2 linked regions of the Xenopus tropicalis genome follow. The main gene of each other region encodes a partner of the protein of the gene in region 2 in a complex. Links are inferred from orthologs where the notes say so. Each region holds a gene or a part of one and is shown on either strand. Other genes may lie near its edges.

Evidence for each region. The genes of interacting proteins can lie anywhere in the genome.
Region 1: stac3 (region 2) and cacng1 share a complex: the UniProt entries of both Homo sapiens proteins name them as parts of the calcium channel complex. The link is inferred for Xenopus tropicalis from reciprocal best matches to the Homo sapiens genes STAC3 and CACNG1.

What each region holds. Positions count from the first base shown.
Region 1 is NC_030686.2:51,094,268-51,104,453, reverse strand, and holds the start of cacng1 (voltage-dependent calcium channel gamma-1 subunit), read right to left. Parts: upstream 6,088-10,186; 5' UTR 6,031-6,087; coding exon 5,790-6,030; intron 1-5,789. UniProt on the Homo sapiens protein: Regulatory subunit of the voltage-gated calcium channel that gives rise to L-type calcium currents in skeletal muscle. Regulates channel inactivation kinetics.
Region 2 is NC_030678.2:140,048,224-140,057,745, forward strand, and holds part of stac3 (SH3 and cysteine-rich domain-containing protein 3), read right to left. Parts: intron 6,505-9,522; coding exon 6,407-6,504; intron 4,749-6,406; coding exon 4,688-4,748; intron 4,015-4,687; coding exon 3,965-4,014; intron 1,710-3,964; coding exon 1,618-1,709; intron 83-1,617; coding exon 31-82; intron 1-30. UniProt on the Homo sapiens protein: Required for normal excitation-contraction coupling in skeletal muscle and for normal muscle contraction in response to membrane depolarization. Required for normal Ca(2+) release from the sarcplasmic reticulum, which ultimately leads to muscle contraction.

The DNA.
Region 1 (10,186 bases), on a different chromosome or scaffold from region 2:
ATACCTATTTACATACATACCTATTTACGTACATACATACCTATTTACATACATACCTATTTACGTACATACATACCTATTTACATACGTACCTATTTACATACATACCTATTTACATACATACATACCTATTTACATACATACCTATTTACATACATACCTATTTACATACATACATACCTATTTACATACAGACGTACATATTTACGTACGTACATACATACCTATTTACATACATACCTATTTACATACATACATACCTATTTACATACATACCTATTTACATACATACCTATTTACGTACATACATACCTATTTACATACATACCTATTTACATACATACATACCTATTTACATACATACCTATTTACATACATACCTATTTACATACATACATACCTATTTACATACAGACGTACATATTTACGTACATACATACCTATTTACATACATACCTATTTACGTACATACATACATACCTATTTACATACAGACGTACATATTTACGTACATACATACCTATTTACATACATACCTATTTCCGTACATACATACCTATTTACATACATACCTATTTACATACATACAAACCTATTTACATACATATTTACGTACATACATACCTATTCACATACAGACATACATATTTACGTACGTACATACCTATTTACATACATACATACCTATTTACATACATACATACCTATTTACATACAGACATACATATTTACGTACATACATACCTATTTACATACATACCTATTTACATACATACAAACCTATTTACATACATATTTACGTACATACATACCTATTTACATACATACCTATTTACGTACATACATACCTATTTACATACATACCTATTTACATACATACAAACCTATTTACATACATATTTACATACATACCTATTTACATACATACCTATTTACATACAGACATACATATTTACGTACGTACATACCTATTTACATACAGACATACATATTTACATACGTACATACCTATTTACATACATACAAACCTATTTACATACATACCTATTTACATACATACCTATTTACATACAGACATACATATTTACGTACATACCTATTTACATACAGATAAACCTATTTACATACGTACCTATTTACATACATACCTATTTACATACAGACATACATATTTACGTACATACATACCTATTTACATACATACAAACCTATTTACATACATATTTACGTACATACATACCTATTTACATACATACCTATTTACGTACATACATACCTATTTGCATACATACCTATTTACATACATACAAACCTATTTACATACATATTTACATACATACCTATTTACATACATACCTATTTACATACAGACATACATATTTACGTACGTACATACCTATTTACATACAGACATACATATTTACATACGTACATACCTATTTACATACATACAAACCTATTTACATACATACCTATTTACATACATACCTATTTACATACAGACATACATATTTACGTACATACCTATTTACATACAGATAAACCTATTTACATACGTACATATTTACATACATACCTATTTACATACAGACATACATATTTACGTACATACCTATTTACATACAGATAAACCTATTTACATACGTACATATTTACATACATACATATTTACATACGTACATACCTATTTACATACATACAAACCTATTTACATACATACCTATTTACATACATACCTATTTACATACAGACATACATATTTACGTACGTACATACCTATTTACATACAGACATACATATTTACATACGTACATACCTATTTACATACATACAAACCTATTTACATACATACCTATTTACATACATACCTATTTACATACAGACATACATATTTACGTACATACCTATTTACATACAGATAAACCTATTTACATACGTACATATTTACATACATACCTATTTACATACATACAAACCTATTTACATACATATTTATGTACATACATACTTATTTACATACATACCTATTTACATACATACCTATTTACATACCTATTTACATACCTATTTACATACATACCTATTTACATACATATTTATGTGCATACATACCTATTTACATACATACCTATTTACATACATATTTATGTACATACATACCTATTTACATACATACAAACCTATTTACATACATATTTATGTACATACATACCTAGTTACATACATACCTATTTACGTACAAACATACCTATTTACATACAGACATACATATTTACGTACGTACATACCTATTAACATACATACAAACCTATTTACATACATACCTATTTACATACAGACATACATATTTACGTACGTACATACCTATTTACATACATACAAACCTATTTACATACATACAAACCTATTTACATACATATTTACGTACATACATACCTATTTACATACATATTTACGTACATACATACCTATTTACATACAAACCTATTTACATACATACATACATACATATTTACATACATACCTATTTACATACATATTTACATACATACCTATTTACATACATACATATTTACATACATACCTATTTACATACATACCTATTTACATACATACCTATTTACATACATACCTATTTACATACATACATATTTACATACATACATACATATTTACATACATACCTATTTACATACATACCTATTTACATACATACATATTTACATACATACCTATTTACATACATACATATTTACATACATACCTATTTACATACATACATATTTACATACATACCTATTTACATACATACATACCTACATACATAGAGAAAGAAAGTTTGCCAGCGCTTAGTTTGCCTTTAAAAATAATTTTTACAAAAAATGAGGTGTTAGTACCACACTTTGGCCAAAATATGTAAGCTCACGTGCCGCGTCAAGGCCCCTCATTATACGCGAGTCCTACACTGTCTAATGACTTTGAGTCTGTGATGCAATTAAAATAAAGTCCCCCAGGAAACAATGTGAGTGAGTAGTGAGACCTATTGCACCTTTAGCTCAAACCCCAGCTCAGTAGCACTCACATGGAAGTGATTCATTGGTTTAAAGGCTACATAGCAGCTAGAAGCAATATTTGGCTACAATTTGTACACAAATTATACCTACATACATACCTATTTACCTACATACATACCTATTTACCTACATACATACCTATTTACCTACATACATACCTATTTACCTACATACATACCTATTTACATACATACATACCTATTTACCTACATACATACCTATTTACCTACATACATACCTATTTACATACATACCTATTTACATACATACCTATTTACATACATACATACATACCTATTTACATACATACATACCTATTTACCTACATACATACCTATTTACATACATACATACCTATTTACATACATACCTATTTACATACATACATACCTATTTACATACATACCTATTTACCTACATACATACCTATTTACATACATACATACCTATTTACCTACATACATACCTATTTACATACATACATACCTATTTACATACATACATACCTATTTACATACATACATACCTATTTACCTACATACATACCTATTTACCTACATACATACCTATTTACATACATACATACCTATTTACCTACATACATACCTATTTACATACATACCTATTTACATACATACCTATTTACATACATACATACCTATTTACATACATACATACCTATTTACCTACATACATACCTATTTACATACATACCTATTTACATACATACCTATTTACATACATACATACCTATTTACATACATACATACCTATTTACATACATACTTACCTATTTACATACATACCTATTTACATACATACCTATTTACATACATACATACCTATTTACATACATACTTTATGTATTTCCCTCTGCCCAGTGATCACTAACAACCCCCCATAGGGGTAGGAAATATGGGGTAGAGGGCAGGGAGAAGTTTAGGGGGTCCCTTGCTCTGCCTCTTACCCCCAGTGACCAGATACTGGGGAGGGGCATCACCTGAATCACCACACATGGGGCCACTGGGTGGGGGCAGACCCATGAGTGTGGGGGGGCTGCAGACAGAGGTGGCCCCTCCTATAATCCATGGGCCCTACTCCCCCCGCACCAGTGATAGATGGTCCTGCCTTGGTATACTGAGCCTCATAGGCCAGCGGATTGCCATATGGTCCTACCCAGTGAGTGCCCTGAGGTCCTACCCAGTGAGTGCCCAACGGTCCTACCCAGTGAGTGCCCAACGGTCCTACCCAGTGAGTGCCCTGAGGTCCTACCCAGTGAGCGCCCTGAGGTCCTACCCAGTGAGCGCCCTGAGGTCCTACCCAGTGAGCGCCCTGAGGTCCTACCCAGTGAGCGCCCTGAGGTCCTACCCAGTGAGTGCCCTGAGGTCCTACCCAGTGAGTGCCCTGAGGTCCTACCCAGTGAGTGCCCTGAGGTCCTACCCAGTGAGCGCCCAGAGGTCCTACCCAGTGAGCGCCCTGAGGTCCTACCAGTGAGTGCCTAACGGTCCTACCCAGTGAGCGCCCAGAGGTCCTACCCAGTGAGCGCCCTGAGGTCCTACCAGTGAGTGCCTAACGGTCCTACCCAGTGAGCGCCCTGAGGTCCTACCCAGTGAGCGCCCTGAGGTCCTACCCAGTGAGCGCCCTGAGGTCCTACCCAGTGAGCGCCCTGAGGTCCTACCCAGTGAGCGCCCTGAGGTCCTACCCAGTGAGCGCCCAATCGTCCTACCCAGTGAGCGCCCTGAGGTCCTACCCAGTGAGCGCCCTGAGGTCCTACCCAGTGAGCGCCCTGAGGTCCTACCCAGTGAGCGCCCTGAGGTCCTACCCAGTGAGCGCCCTGAGGTCCTACCCAGTGAGCGCCCTGAGGTCCTACCCAGTGAGCGCCCTGAGGTCCTACCCAGTGAGCGCCCAATCGTCCTACCAGTGAGCGCCCTGAGGTCCTACCCAGTGAGCGCCCTGAGGTCCTACCCAGTGAGCGCCCTGAGGTCCTACCCAGTGAGCGCCCTGAGGTCCTTCCCAGTGAGCGCCCTGAGGTCCTACCCAGTGAGCGCCCAATGGTCCTACCCAGTGAGCGCCCAATGGTCCTACCCAGTGAGCGCCCTGAGGTCCTACCCAGTGAGCGCCCTGAGGTCCTACCCAGTGAGCGCCCAATGGACCTACCCAGTGAGCGCCCTGAGGTCCTACCCAGTGAGCGCCCTGAGGTCCTACCCAGTGAGCGCCCTGAGGTCCTACCCAGTGAGCGCCCTGAGGTCCTACCCAGTGAGCGCCCAAGGGTCCTACCCAGTGAGCGCCCTGAGGTCCTACCCAGTGAGCGCCCAACGGACCTACCCAGTGAGCGCCCAAGGGTCCTACCCAGTGAGCGCCCAAGGGTCCTACCCAGTGAGCGCCCAAGGGTCCTACCCAGTGAGCGCCCAAGGGTCCTACCCAGTGAGTGCCCAAGGGTCCTACCCAGTGTGCCCGGCTGAGGTCCTACCCAGTGAGCGCCCTGAGGTCCTACCCAGTGAGCGCCCAAGGGACCTACCCAGTGAGTGCCCAACGGCAATAAGGAACCAATATCAATTGTTCATTAAGTAGGGCCCCCCCGGCCCCCACACTCCAGCCCCCCTATGTGGAACAGTTACAGGTTGGCCCCCAGATGAAATGGGAACCCTGGAATCAGAATTTGGGGGGCAAGTTGGGGAAAGAATCTTTGTTGCCTGGTTACCCTGACTTACTTACCCCCAGGAAGGCTCAGGGGGCCACATCCCTTGATCATAGTCTCCTGATCACTCATGAAAATCTTCTTCTTACACAGCCTCCATAGGCCAAAGTGGGCCACCTCGCAGGACTGGGTGTCGTCGTCCAGTTTGGGGCTCAGTACGGCCCAGTGGTCGCTCATTACGGCCGCCAACATGAGCGAGATGCCCACCAGGGCGATACAGGACGTGACCCGGATCTTCAGCACCTTCAGCTCCTTCATGGCTACTGGCTGGGGCCCTTGGCTAGTGAGCGCTCAGTCTACTCCCTCTGCTCTGTGGCTCCTTGTGCTACTGGGGCCGACACTGGGGGAGACTGGGATGGGCCGGGCCCGGGAGCAGCTGTTGGGATCAGTCACCAACTGGGCACAGACATGGGTGGGGGGGCGGGGGGGGCTTATTAATACACGGAGCGGGGGGGGGGTGCCACCTTCACTCCAAGTGTCGCAACTTCCCCCGTCCCTCCTGTCACTCTGATAGTTGCACAACCCCCTGCTATTGATCAACTGCCCCGTCCTACCCCAACTGCCCCATACTGCCCCTGATCCTACCCCAACTGCCCCATACTGCCCCTGCTCCTACCCCAACTGCCCCATACTGCCCCTGCTCCTACCCCAACTGCCCCATCCTGCCCCATACTGCCCCTGCTCCTACCCCAACTGCCCCATACTGCCCCTGCTCCTACCCCAACTGCCCCATACTGCCCCTGCTCCTACCCCAACTGCCCCGTCCTACCCAACTGCCCCATACTGCCCCTGCTCCTACCCCAACTGCCCCATACTGCCCCTGCTCCTACCCCAACTGCCCCATACTGCCCCTGCTCCTACCCAACTGTCCCATGCTGCCCCTGCCTCCTACCCCAACTGCCACATACTGCCCCTGCTCCTACCCAACTGCCCCCATACTGCCCCTGCTCCTACCCCAACTGCCACATACTGCCCTGCTCCTACCCCAACTGTCCCATGCTGCCCCTGCTCCTACCCCAACTGTCCCATACTGCCCCTGCTCCTACCCCAACTGCCCATACTGCCCCTGCTATTGATCAACTGCCCCGTCCTAGCCCAACTGCCCCATACTGCCCCTGCTCCTAGCCCAACTGCCCCGTCCTGCCCTACTATTGATCAACTGCCCATCCTACCCAACTGCCCATACCCCCCCCCCAACTGCTCCATACTGCCCCTGCTCCTACCCCAACTGTCCCATACTGCCCCTGCCCCTACCCCTGCTCCTACCCCAACTGTCCCATACTGCCCCTGCTCCTACCCCAACTGTCCCATACTGCCCCTGCTCCTACCCCAACTGTCCCATACTGCCCCTGCTCCTACCCCAACTGTCCCATACTGCCCCTGCTCCTACCCCAACTGTCCCATACTGCCCCTGCTCCTACCCCAACTGTCCCATACTGCCCCTGCTCCTACCCCAACTGTCCCATACTGCCCCTGCTCCTACCCCAACTGTCCCATACTGCCCCTGCTTCTACCCCAACTGCCCCATACTGCCCCTAGCCCAACTGCCCTGTCCTGCCCCTACTATTGATCAACTGCCCCGTCCTACCCCAACTGCCCCATACTGCCCCTGCTCCTAGCCCAACTGCCCCGTCCTGCCCCTACTATTGATCAACTGCCCCATCCTACCCCAACTGCCCCATACTGCCCCTGCTCCTACCCCAACTGCCCCATAATGCCCCTGCTCCTACCCCAACTGCCCCATACTGCCCCTGTACTAGCCTTTGCTCCTTTCAGCCTCTTGCACCAAGTCACTATCAACCCCCTCATTGCTTTATGCAGGATTGGGGGGGGGGGGGGCACAGTACCATGTAAAGTGACACCATGCAGTTTATTAAAGGGGAACTCTGCACTCCCCAATATCCACTTAATGTTCCTTAATGTTTTGGGGCCCAGATTAGGCCAATCGGATGCGGTAGTTCTGAGTGTAGAAGATGTGATTGGCCGGGGGGCAGCGGGATGGGCCAGTAACAATAGGCCTCTCAGTGGTCGAGGTGTTAATGTGAGTAAATCCCCCCCCCCCCCCCATCAGCCCTGGGACTTAGTTTCTCCCGCTGGCCCAGTCGGGGGTTAAGGGGGGAACTGAAGTTGGAGTGAAACGTGGGCCAATGTGCTTCCCTGGGCAAAGGCTGGGCCCCATTTCAGCAAAAGGAATGAACACTTTGGGTTTACTTGTCCTTTAAACAGCAGAAAGGAATCTGCGACTGATGCGATGGGACAAGTGAAGCGAATCCATTGCGACTCCTGAGCTACAGCACCCACAGTTAGGGAATCCGACTCCCAGGAACATCTGACTCACCCCAAAACCCCCCAGTCCCTGACTCGCCCCAAAACCCCCCAGTCCCTGACTCACCCCAAAACCCCCCAATCCCTGACTCACCCCAAAACCCCCCAGTCCCTGACTCACCCCAAAACCCCCCAGTCCCTGACTCACCCCAAAACCCCCCAGTCCCTGACTCACCCCAAAACCCCCCAGTCCCTGACTCACCCCAAAACCCCCCAGTCCCTGACTCACCCCAAAACCCCCCAGTCCCTGACTCACCCCAAAACCCCCAATCCCTGACTCACCCCAAAACCCCCCAGTCCCTGACTCGCCCCAAAACCCCCCAGTCCCTGACTCACCCCAAAACCCCCCAGTCCCTGACTCACCCCAAAACCCCCCAGTCCCTGACTCACCCCAAAACCCCCCAATCCCTGACTCACCCCAAAACCCCCCAGTCCCTGACTCACCCCAAAACCCCCCAGTCCCTGACTCACCCCAAAACCCCCAATCCCTGACTCACCCCAAAACCCCCCAGTCCCTGACTCACCCCAAAACCCCCCAATCCCTGACTCACCCCAAAACCCCCCAGTCCCTGACTCACCCCAAAACCCCCCAGTCCCTGACTCACCCCAAAACCCCCCAATCCCTGACTCACCCCAAAACCCCCCAGTCCCTGACTCACCCCAAAACCCCCCAATCCCTGACTCACCCCAAAAACCCCCAGTCCCTGACTCACCCCAAAAACCCCCAGTCCCTGACTCACCCCAAAACCCCCCAGTCCCTGACTCACCCCAAAACCCCCCAGTCCCTGACTCACCCCAAAACCCCCCAGTCCCTGACTCACCCCAAAACCCCCCAGTCCCTGACTCACCCCAAAACCCCCCAGTCCCTGACTCACCCCCCACCCTCTCGTCTGACAGCTGAGGGATTGCGCCCTATGATTGGCCACTTACAGAAGCTGGAGGGTCAGGTGATGCCCAGATTTACAGGCAGTGGCGCTGTTGTGCTGTAGCCCTATGGGAAATACAGGATGTTGGCTGCTAGTGGTGAGACCTGGTACTGCAACCGATAATTTCCCTTATATTTCCTGCACCCCTAGACACAGCGGGGGGCCCCTGCGTAGTACAATCAGCTACAAGAGAAGCACATTTGCCTTTTACCTGCCATTGAGCTCAAGCAGGGGGGCCCCACTGGGGAGAAGGAAGAACAACAAGGGATAATGTACCCCCTACTGTAAATGATAAGGATATTAGCAGTCACTGAGGGGTTCTGTGCCCATATAAAGGCACAAGGCTGCAGGCTGAGTTATACAGGGAACTCTGAGTATCACTCATGTATTATAAGGGATAATGTACCCCCTACTGTAAATGATAAGGATATTAGCAGTCACTGAGGGGTTCTGTGCCCCCCATATAAAGGCACAAGGCTGCAGGCTGAGTTATACAGGGAACTCTGAGTATCACTCATGTATTATAAGGGATAATGTACCCCCTACTGTAAATGATAAGGATATTAGCAGTCACTGAGGGGTTCTGTGCCCCCATATAAAGGCACAAGGCTGCAGGCTGAGTTATACAGGGAACTCTGAGTATCACTCATGTATTATAAGGGATAATGTACCCCCTACTGTAAATGATAAGGATATTAGCAGTCACTGAGGGGTTCTGTGCCCATATAAAGGCACAAGGCTGCAGGCTGAGTTATACAGGGAACTCTGAGTATCACTCATGTATTATAAGGGATAATGTACCCCCTACTGTAAATGATAAGGATATTAGCAGTCACTGAGGGGCTCTGTGCCCCCCATATAAAGGCACAAGGCTGCAGGCTGAGTTATACAGGGAACTCTGAGTATCACTCATGTATTATAAGGGATACTGTACCCCCTACTGTAAATGATAAGGATATTAGCAGTCACTGAGGGGTTCTGTGCCCCCCATATAAAGGCACAAGGCTGCAGGCTGAGTTATACAGGGAACTCTGAGTATCACTCATGTATTATAAGGGATACTGTACCCCCTACTGTAAATGATAAGGATATTAGCAGTCACTGAGGGGTTCTGTGCCCCCCATATAAAGGCACAAGGCTGCAGGCTGAGTTATACAGGGAAC
Region 2 (9,522 bases):
TACAAGGACAACTGTATTTTTATTACTTACCCTCCACCATTCTTCATTGGAGTCATCTATTACGGTGATTCTTTCCCCAGCTCTGTGAAAACAATAATGTGCAAGGAAATTCAGGGACAAGACATGGGCTATTCCTTCCTAGGGGATATTATCATGGGATATTCCTTTCTAGGGGATATTATCATGGGATATTCCTTTCTAGGGGATATTATCATGGGATATTCCTTTCTAGGGGATATTATCATGGGATATTCCTTTCTAGGGGATATTATCATGGGATATTCCTTTCTAGGGGATATTATCATGGGCTATTCCTTCCTAGGGGATATTATCATGGGATATTCCTTTCTAGGGGATATTATTATGGGATATTCCTTTCTAGGGGATATTATCATGGGATATTCCTTTCTAGGGGATATTATCATGGGATATTCCTTTCTAGGGGATATTATTATGGGATATTCCTTTCTAGGGGATATTATCATGGGATATTCCTTTCTAGGGGATATTATTATGGGATATTCCTTTCTAGGGGATATTATCATGGGATATTCCTTCCTAGGGGATATTATCATGGGCTATTCATTTCTAGGGGATATTATCATGGCATATTCCTTCCTAGGGGATATTATCATGGGATATTCCTTTCTAGGGGATATTATTATGGGATATTCCTTTCTAGGGGATATTATTATGGGATATTCCTTCCTAGGGGATATTATCATGGGATATTCCTTTCTAGGGGATATTATCATGGGATATTCCTTTCTAGGGGATATTATTATGGGATATTCCTTCCTAGGGGATATTATTATGGGATATTACTTTCACAATCCAAAAACAGAGCATGAAACCTTTACTAAATAGAATGTACACATATTAAATTAGTAATAAACATTTATCAAATTGCCCTTACATCTTGAATTATGAGAGTAAGTATGAGATTTATTATTCAGAATGCTTGGGACCTGCGGTTTAATGGATAAGGGATCTTTCCATAATTTGGACCTCCAAACATTAATTAAACCCATTAGGATTATTTTGCTTCCAATAAGGATTAATTATATTTTAGTTGGGATTAGGTTATAATTTAGGATTATAAGAAAAAGGATTTTATTTTTAAATATGAATTATTTGCTTAAAATGGAGTCTATGGGAGATGGCTAACCAATAATTTGGAACTTTCTAGATAACAGGTTTCTGAATAATGGATCCCATACCTATAGAAGCCTATACTCCCTCCAAACACTTGGGCTAATTTGCTGAAACTGGGTCAATCTGCAAAGTTATCTGAGGTTTGTGCTTCTTTCCTACACAAAGCAACATTAGAACAGTTTTCTGTTTTCCTTCTGAACATATATCTTTACCACCATACAGTCAGAGCAACTGACCAGCAGGTAGCACATTATATTACCAATAAATAGCTTAACAGCTCTAAAACTTAAAAAAAATGATCAAGGTCAATTGGAAAAGTGCTTACAAAGTTCCCTGAGCATCATTTTTACCCTTTGAGGAACTACATAAATAGCAAGGCACTTTCTGTTTATGACTCTCACATGGGGCACAAATTAGAGAATAGCTGTATGAGACTATACTAGCCAGCAAGGCTATACTCACTGAAAATCTAGATCATCCTTCTCCAGGGCTTTGAAGCGATACAAAGCGACAAAATAATGGGACTGCATGAACCCAGGCTGCGCCTTCTTATTCTATAACCACAAATGGAAAGAAGCAGAAAGGTAAAGCTGCGCAAAAAATGAATTCATTTCTGAAAAAGTGTAGGCACAGGGAAAGGCTGAGGCAAGTGTAGGGGTTGCTTCCTTGCCTTCATTTATCTGCAGACCAAGAATCAGTGTGTCAGTAGTTGACGTGGTGCACATTTGCACCCCTTAGTGCTCTAGGCCTTGTGTCCAGGGTCGGAGTAAATGACCCTTAGAATAGTTTATCTTCCACATGTAAAGCACAGTAAAAATGATGTGTTTGTAAGATTTATCAGTCCACATAAATAAATACCATCAATATCTGGATATACCAATAGATAATAACAATGGCGACAGCGTTTATGTTTTTGTTTGTTTTTCATGTTTAGCAAACTAAGGGAACCATTTCTGCCTGCAAGAATTTTACAATATTTTGGTTTTAAAGGAACATGAACTAAAGAGGGAACCTGCTGTCTAAAAAACGTAAATCTTAAATTTTTTCGCAGAGTTATCAGCCACACAATGAAACATTCTCTGATGCTGAGAACAAAATCCAGCAGCTCAAGAAGAAAACAAATCAGCTAAATATTCCTGGCACTATCCGACAGGCAACAGAATAGGATATCTATACACAATGCAATATTTACTGCGTTCTGCACTCCAAGCACTTGGACAATTACAATTAAAATGTACAATACACTTTGAAAAGGTAAGATGGATTAGATGGTTTAGTCCATGTGCGCAAAGTTATATATCTTCTCCTTGTTACTAAATGGCATAAAAATGAATGGGACCACTACTAAGTTATACTTTATACTGCTGTGTGCCAAAGGATGCTCAGATTTACAGGGGAGTACAATTTTGGGGGTTGTCTAGGATCACAGCCACTATATATACTATATGTATGTGACAAAGCAGTTGTTATAAGGGGCTGTCTGTGTGCCTGTCCCACTGACGTAATGACCGAAGATACACTGAATCTAGGATTTGTATTTAGCAAAATGCTAACAGAATTACTGAATTGTGCATTTGTTTTGGATACAATGTTTGTATATGCAACGTAGGGTATAGATTCTGTATTGTATTTATCTAGAACTTTTGTGGTAGATTCGGTATTTGGCCACATCCAGAAAAACTGGATTCAGTACTTGGTGATTACATAATTTTCCAGTTGTTTCATTGGGCTGGTGGTAATCCTTGTCTAGTTTCAGGGGTTGTTCACCCTTAAGTTAACTTTTAGTATCTTATACAATGTCTGATTTTAAGCAACTTTTCAACTGGTCTTCATTATTTATTTTGTTATAGTTTTTTAATTATTTGCCTTCCTCTGCTGCATCTTTCAAGCTTTCAAATGGGGGTCACTGACCCCAGCAGCCAAAAAACTATTGCCCCCTGAGGCTACAAAATTATTGTTATTCTTACATTTTATAAGTCTCTCATTCAAACCACTCCTTGGTTGCTAAGGTAATTTGGACCCTAGCAAACAAGTAACTGCTGAAACTCCAAACTGGAGATCAGCTGAACAAAAATTGAAATAGTTAAAAAAAAAACTACAAATAATAAAAAATGAAGACCAGTTGCAAATTGTCTCAGAATATTACTCTGTACATTATACTAAAAGATAACTCAAAGATGAACAACCCCTTTAATGTGATACCACTTTAGGATATAGTGCCGTTTTACTCCCTGTTTCATACGCAGTAAAATGATTGATAAATGCCAAAAAAGCTTAAATTTAGATATTTTTGAACCTTGCGAGCTTTATAAACCCCATTAACACAGTATCTTTCTGCTCACTGTTGGTCTCTTTCTTGGAATTTCTTGATGACTTTCCATTCTGATGATGCTCCCCATACAAACTCTGCCTACCCTGAACCTTTGTATTTAAATTATGCTCCTGCTTCCTCTATTCTGTTCCTGACTTGGCCACTTTGTCTCTAACTGTGGGTATGCCAGACAGATCCATTTATAAGATTGGGTGGTAAGTCCTGTCTGTCAGCAATACTAGAGATATTTAACGACGCTCCAAGGAGGTTATTACAGGTAGACCTCACTGTGACCACATTTCCCAATCTCCTTTGAGTATTGAGTGTCAAATGAAATAATTAGCTCCAGTGAATAACATATAGTGGCAGGGATTTCAGTAGCTGTACAGTCTAAACTATATTTATGGACAGCATCAACATAAACTCTTGGGTGCAAGAACGTGTCATTTATAAGGTAAAGCTTTATTAGTACCGCCTACTGAACATTCTAATGAATACCTTAGCATCCTGTCCACCTTTTTCACCCTTCTTGTCCCCGTCAGGCACGTCTAGAATCAAACAAGAGATCATGTGAGTCCATGAAAGGCTGCACTTACGATGCACAGTTCATTCGAATACCTCATGTTTCTTTTCAGAGACAAATAACACACTGGTCCTGGAATTATATTTACTTATTTATAACTGGTGCTCATTATGTTCTATGAGAGAAGAAAAAAGTAAATTGACCTTCGGTGAGATTGAAACTCCAACCTTCCCATCGGGATAATATTACAGAAAACAGCTATTACTGTTAAATTACTTAACTGCCATCATTGCTGAACAGATGTATGATAGGGCCGCCAAAGTTATCAAAAGAAGAAATCAAGATGATAGCATAGCAGGCACGTTATGTCATGGCCAATCTGCAAACTAACAACTCTCAAACTGTCGCTCCTAGCATCCCCAGAGAGCCGTCAGCTACTGGGAAGGGAAGTTAGAGGCTTGAAGAGTTGGAAGTTCAATACACTGTAAGTACTGACACCAAGGGTTCTCATTTATCAGTACTGGGAAAATTTGCCCATGGGCAGTAACCCATAGCAACCAATCAATGATTGGATTTTTTCAGACAGTTGCATGTAGAACAATTTGATCGGTTGCCATAGGTTACTGCCCATGGGCAATTTTTCCCAGTGTTGAGAAATGACCCTCCTTGACTCTTCTGAAAATTGGTGTTGCTCTCACCTCCTTCCTGTTTCTCTTCTGGTTTTGGTGGAAGTTCCTCGGGTTCCTCTTCAAGCATTGGCTAGATAAAGCAGAATACTTAGTCTCTCCATTTTACAATAAATTTTCGTTCTAAACTGGTAATGGTATCTAATCTAATCCTTCTAATGACTTACTATTGTACCACTGTGTAATATGTGATGATGTGTTACCGCATAATACCTGTTGTTAACCATAAACACATAAGTTAAAATATAAAACACTGATGGTCTGTATAAGGACTATACCTTATTTAATGGTTAACAACAGATTTAATCAGTCACAACAAGTTCTATAGAAAAATAAAAGTTGATAGAGAGGTGATTGAAAAGTTTCACTTTGGTAAAATTGCCTTGAATATTGTCCCTAGAACAGGGGTGGCCAATACGTCATTCGCTGTCCACCAGTCGTTCCCCTGTGGATTTCTGGTGGACTGCGATCAAGCCGGGGATGCAGAAGTGCTGCGTGAATGCATACGTACGCCCACCCCTGCCGTAGAACATGAAGGAACTTTGATGAACGCAATATACAGCAATATGCTAGGAGAGTAGGAAGAGTGAATGAATTTGCTTAAGAAAAAAACAATTTGACAAATCTACCCTCTCAAGGCAACTTCCACTACTTAGGCTAATTGCGGCACCGCGTATGCCATCCCACCAGCGATTAACATTCTAGCTGGTGGGATGGCATTTTGGGGAGATTAGTTGCCCGCGACAAGGGAGATTTGTAGCGCGCCGACTAATCTCCCCATCTGTCATAGCCCTTAGACACACAATGTAATGGAACCCCACTCTTCCCATCTTCCATTGTGAATTGATAGATTTTGGCATTTAAAATTTATCTGCTTTCCAGAGAATCAGTGCACCACCCACTAAACCAGAGGGACTTCAAATCCCAGCATCTATCTCTTCACATTGAAACAAGTGTGGGGTTGCTTTATGTGTAGGGATGTAGCGAACCTGAAAAAAAAAATTTGTGGACCCGTTCGCGAACTTACGCCAAAACTTGCGAATATTCGCGGACTTTGCACCCGATGTTCGCACAGCGAACAGTTCGCTACATCTCTATTTATGTGTAAGCTTAGGCTAATGTCCCACGGAAAGGTTAGTAGGCCTTTTCACCAGAGATTGCCTTTATTGCAAGTAAAAAGGCTTTTCGGGAAGATTAGTAGCCCATTGTAGCAGAGATTTATCACGAGCAACTAATCTCCCCATGGGACATTAGCCTTAAGAGGGATGGGGAACTGTTAGCTGTAAGCAATAACAGATATAATGGGCTTCAGGTCCGGAACTAGGGGCAGGCAGAAGAGGCACCTGCCTAGGGCACAGCAGTGAGGGGGCGTTAGGCAGGTAGCTCCATTGCCAACCCCTAGGCCTGGATCTCTTACTCCAACAGCTCCCCCCCTGCACCGCGTCTGCGCACCTTGCGGGAAGTGGTGGGGGTGAGGTGGCCATCCGGGTCGCCTAGGGCACCCAGCCAACTTGGCCCGCCTCTAAAGGGCTCCTTTCCACCTGTGGAATCAGGTCTATTTGCATAGAAAAAATACATTTATATTTATATCTGGAAGTTCAGACAGTATTAATCTTTTCTACATAAGCCCAACTGAATGAGCTTTTACCAAGAAGGGGGTATATTTTCTCTTAAGTTTGTATTAATTTGCTATTCATAAAATTCCATTAAACTCATATACTGGTTACTTACATTCTTCTTGTCATCCTGTCCTTTCTTTCTTTCTTTATTTGCCATAATGACCCCTACCCTCAGGGTATCGAACACAGGATCAGTACGATTAGAAGCGGCTGGGACAAAGCAGACAAGATACATAAGTCCTCTATCGCCTCACTGCACTGCTCAGCCTCCTATAAGAAGCTGTTTGCGGTTGCACACATTGGCAATGCGTTACTGCTGGGTTATCCATGGCCTTGATAGAGAATGTTATATGAAATGTCAGTATTACTGCATCCAAAATAGGAAAAAGATCAGTATCTTTTTACAAGCAGTACACAAAGGCTCCAACATGAAAAGATATGATTTAGAAATTGGCCCCTCATTCTGTAAGTATAATAATATCTAAACCCAATATAGGTCATCTAGGCTGATGCTATACATACAGAGCACTGGGGACGGGATGTGCTGAAGTTTTCTGCATGTCTCGTTCCCTGTGCTCCATATGGGAGCAAAATTTACTTGTTGCTTGGCAGCATGCCACCCCTAAATTTAGGCCGCACAGGCCTTTGTGTCCTCGCCACAGATCCTGGCCTGCGGGTTTGCACCTTCTAGTGCAAATTAGTGAATAAATATGTACTTATACGCCATTATGGTTCACTTGATGTTGGGCAAATAAATGGATGGTTCAACACAGCATGTTTTAGCTCTGTCTATCTGTTATGGAAAAGGGATATTAATAATGCTTCTGCCCATGGAGCATATTTTCTGCCTATGTATTTCAGCCAGTTCCAGTGCTGTAAGCAGGGCCGGATTTGAAAACTGCCCGCCCAGAGGCCGCCCCCGGTCGCACGCCCCCCCCCCCCCCCCGCCCCGAGTGCGCATGCGTGCGTGACCAGCGGTAGTGCGCGAACGGGAGGGGGGGGCGGTGCAAGCGGGCATGTGCCGTGGGCCAACTTGCATACGGAGCAATGGGGAGAAGTCCCCTTTGCTCCGTATGGGAGCACACATTTAAAGATTTTTGTGCGGCGGGGCGGCATGCCACCCCCAGATTTCTGCCGCCCTAGGCCCGGGCCTTTGTGGCCTCTCCACAAATCCGGGCCTGGCTGTAAGGGGTTTGGGGAAAGGCAGAGGCTAATATGATATGGGTGTTTTTTGTTTGGGATTTGGATTCAGCCGAATTCATGTGCCTGGCCAAACCAAATCCGAATCCCTAAAATCACTTGACTTTTTGTCACAGAAGCTGTGTGCTTCAAATGCGGTTCTCTTTGACCCTTCCATAGCCTTATTATATGCAAATAAGGATTCCGATTCCATTCAATATTTGCCCAAATCTTTCACAAAGGATTCAGGGGTCAGTCGGATCCCAAAATACTGGGTCCCGAGTTGAAATATGCCAGTGGGTAGTACACCCCATGTGCAATTACCCTAGGAAGGATATCTGCTTATTGGGTAACTTAATTGCATTCTACCTACTCAGTACATGGAATAATGTACAGAAGGCTTGTTAAATAGTCATATTATGATACAATTATACATATTATGATACAATGTAAAGTGCTTAAATATATTTAGACACACACATTCCTGATCTAATCCTAGAAGTTAGTAAAGAAGTATTATTCCTACAGAGCTTGCGGTACCATAATGCCACCCTGTGGTCACTGTTCAGAACAGTTATTGATCATTTGCTCCTGTGAAATTGGTTTTGTTCTGTCATCTATCATCTTGCATAGGTGGGTGCTGGTAATAGAAAAACAATCAGGAGAGACCTCTGCAGCCCAGGGACACCATGTAACTGCTGTGTCAATAAAATGATTACTTTTTCTATCATTTATTCTCTAATTTTCAATCTATAGGATGATAGAGGAGAGCAGACAGAGATTTATGAACAAATTCTGGAGAAGTACTAGGGGACATGATTACTCTGTACAAGTACATTAAAGGGGATTATAGGCAGATAGGGGGTGTTCTTGTTTCCCATAAAAACAATCAGCTCTCGGATAAGCATAATATCCAAGGCTATTGTGATACTAAAATCTACAGTTAGTATTGATGTTGGTATATATAGTTTATGTATGTGAGTGTATATATAGGACAGTATGGGTCTGTATGTGAGTGTATAGATAGGTCAGTATGGGTCTGTATGTGAGTGTATAGATAGGTCAGTATGGGTCTGTATGTGAGTGTATAGATAGGTCAGTATGGGTCTGTATGTGAGTGTATAGATAGGTCAGTATGGGTCTGTATGTGAGTGTATAGATAGGTCAGTATGGGTCTGTATGTGAGTGTATAGATAGGTCAGTATGGGTCTGTATGTGAGTGTATAGATAGGTCAGTATGGGTCTGTATGTGAGTGTATAGATAGGACAGTATGGGTCTGTATGTGAGTGTATAGATAGGTCAGTATGGGTCTGTATGTGAGGGTATAGATAGGTCAGTATGGGTCTGTATGTGAGTGTATAGATAGGTCAGTGTGGGTCTGTATGTGAGTGTATAGATAGGTCAGTATGGGTCTGTATGTGAGTGTATAGATAAGTCAGTATGGGTCTGTATGTGAGTGTATAGATAGGTCAGTATGGGTCTGTATGTGAGTGTATAGATAGGTCAGTATGGGTCTGTATGTGAGTCTATAGATAGGTCAGTATGGGTCTGTATGTGAGTGGATAGATAGGTCAGTATGGGTCTGTATGTGAGTGTATAGATAGGTCAGTATGGGTCTGTATGTGAGTGTATAGATAGGTCAGTATGGGTCTGTATGTGAGTGTATAGATAGGTCAGTATGGGCCATACTGTAGTACTCCTACAATGATCCCATGCTCCCCTGCAGAATGTTTGTTTATTGACTTGGAATAGGTGAACTGAAACATATAAATAAGCACCTGAACAAACAGTAGAATCATTGAGAGGTACAAAGTTGGAATCTCCAGTTATTCTAGTTACTAACTTCCTACCCTGGGCCAATGCCCCACTTCTAGAAAAAATGCCATCACAAGGGGACTTCTCCTGTGAATACTGCACCACTATAATATTTTGGTGTCCCTTTTGGAGTGCCTAACAACTTAGCCCCAGTAGTTCTACCTTTTGTTTTTAGTTAGACAGTAAATAATATCTTTATATTGGTCACTCTCTGATATAAAAAAATTAAATTT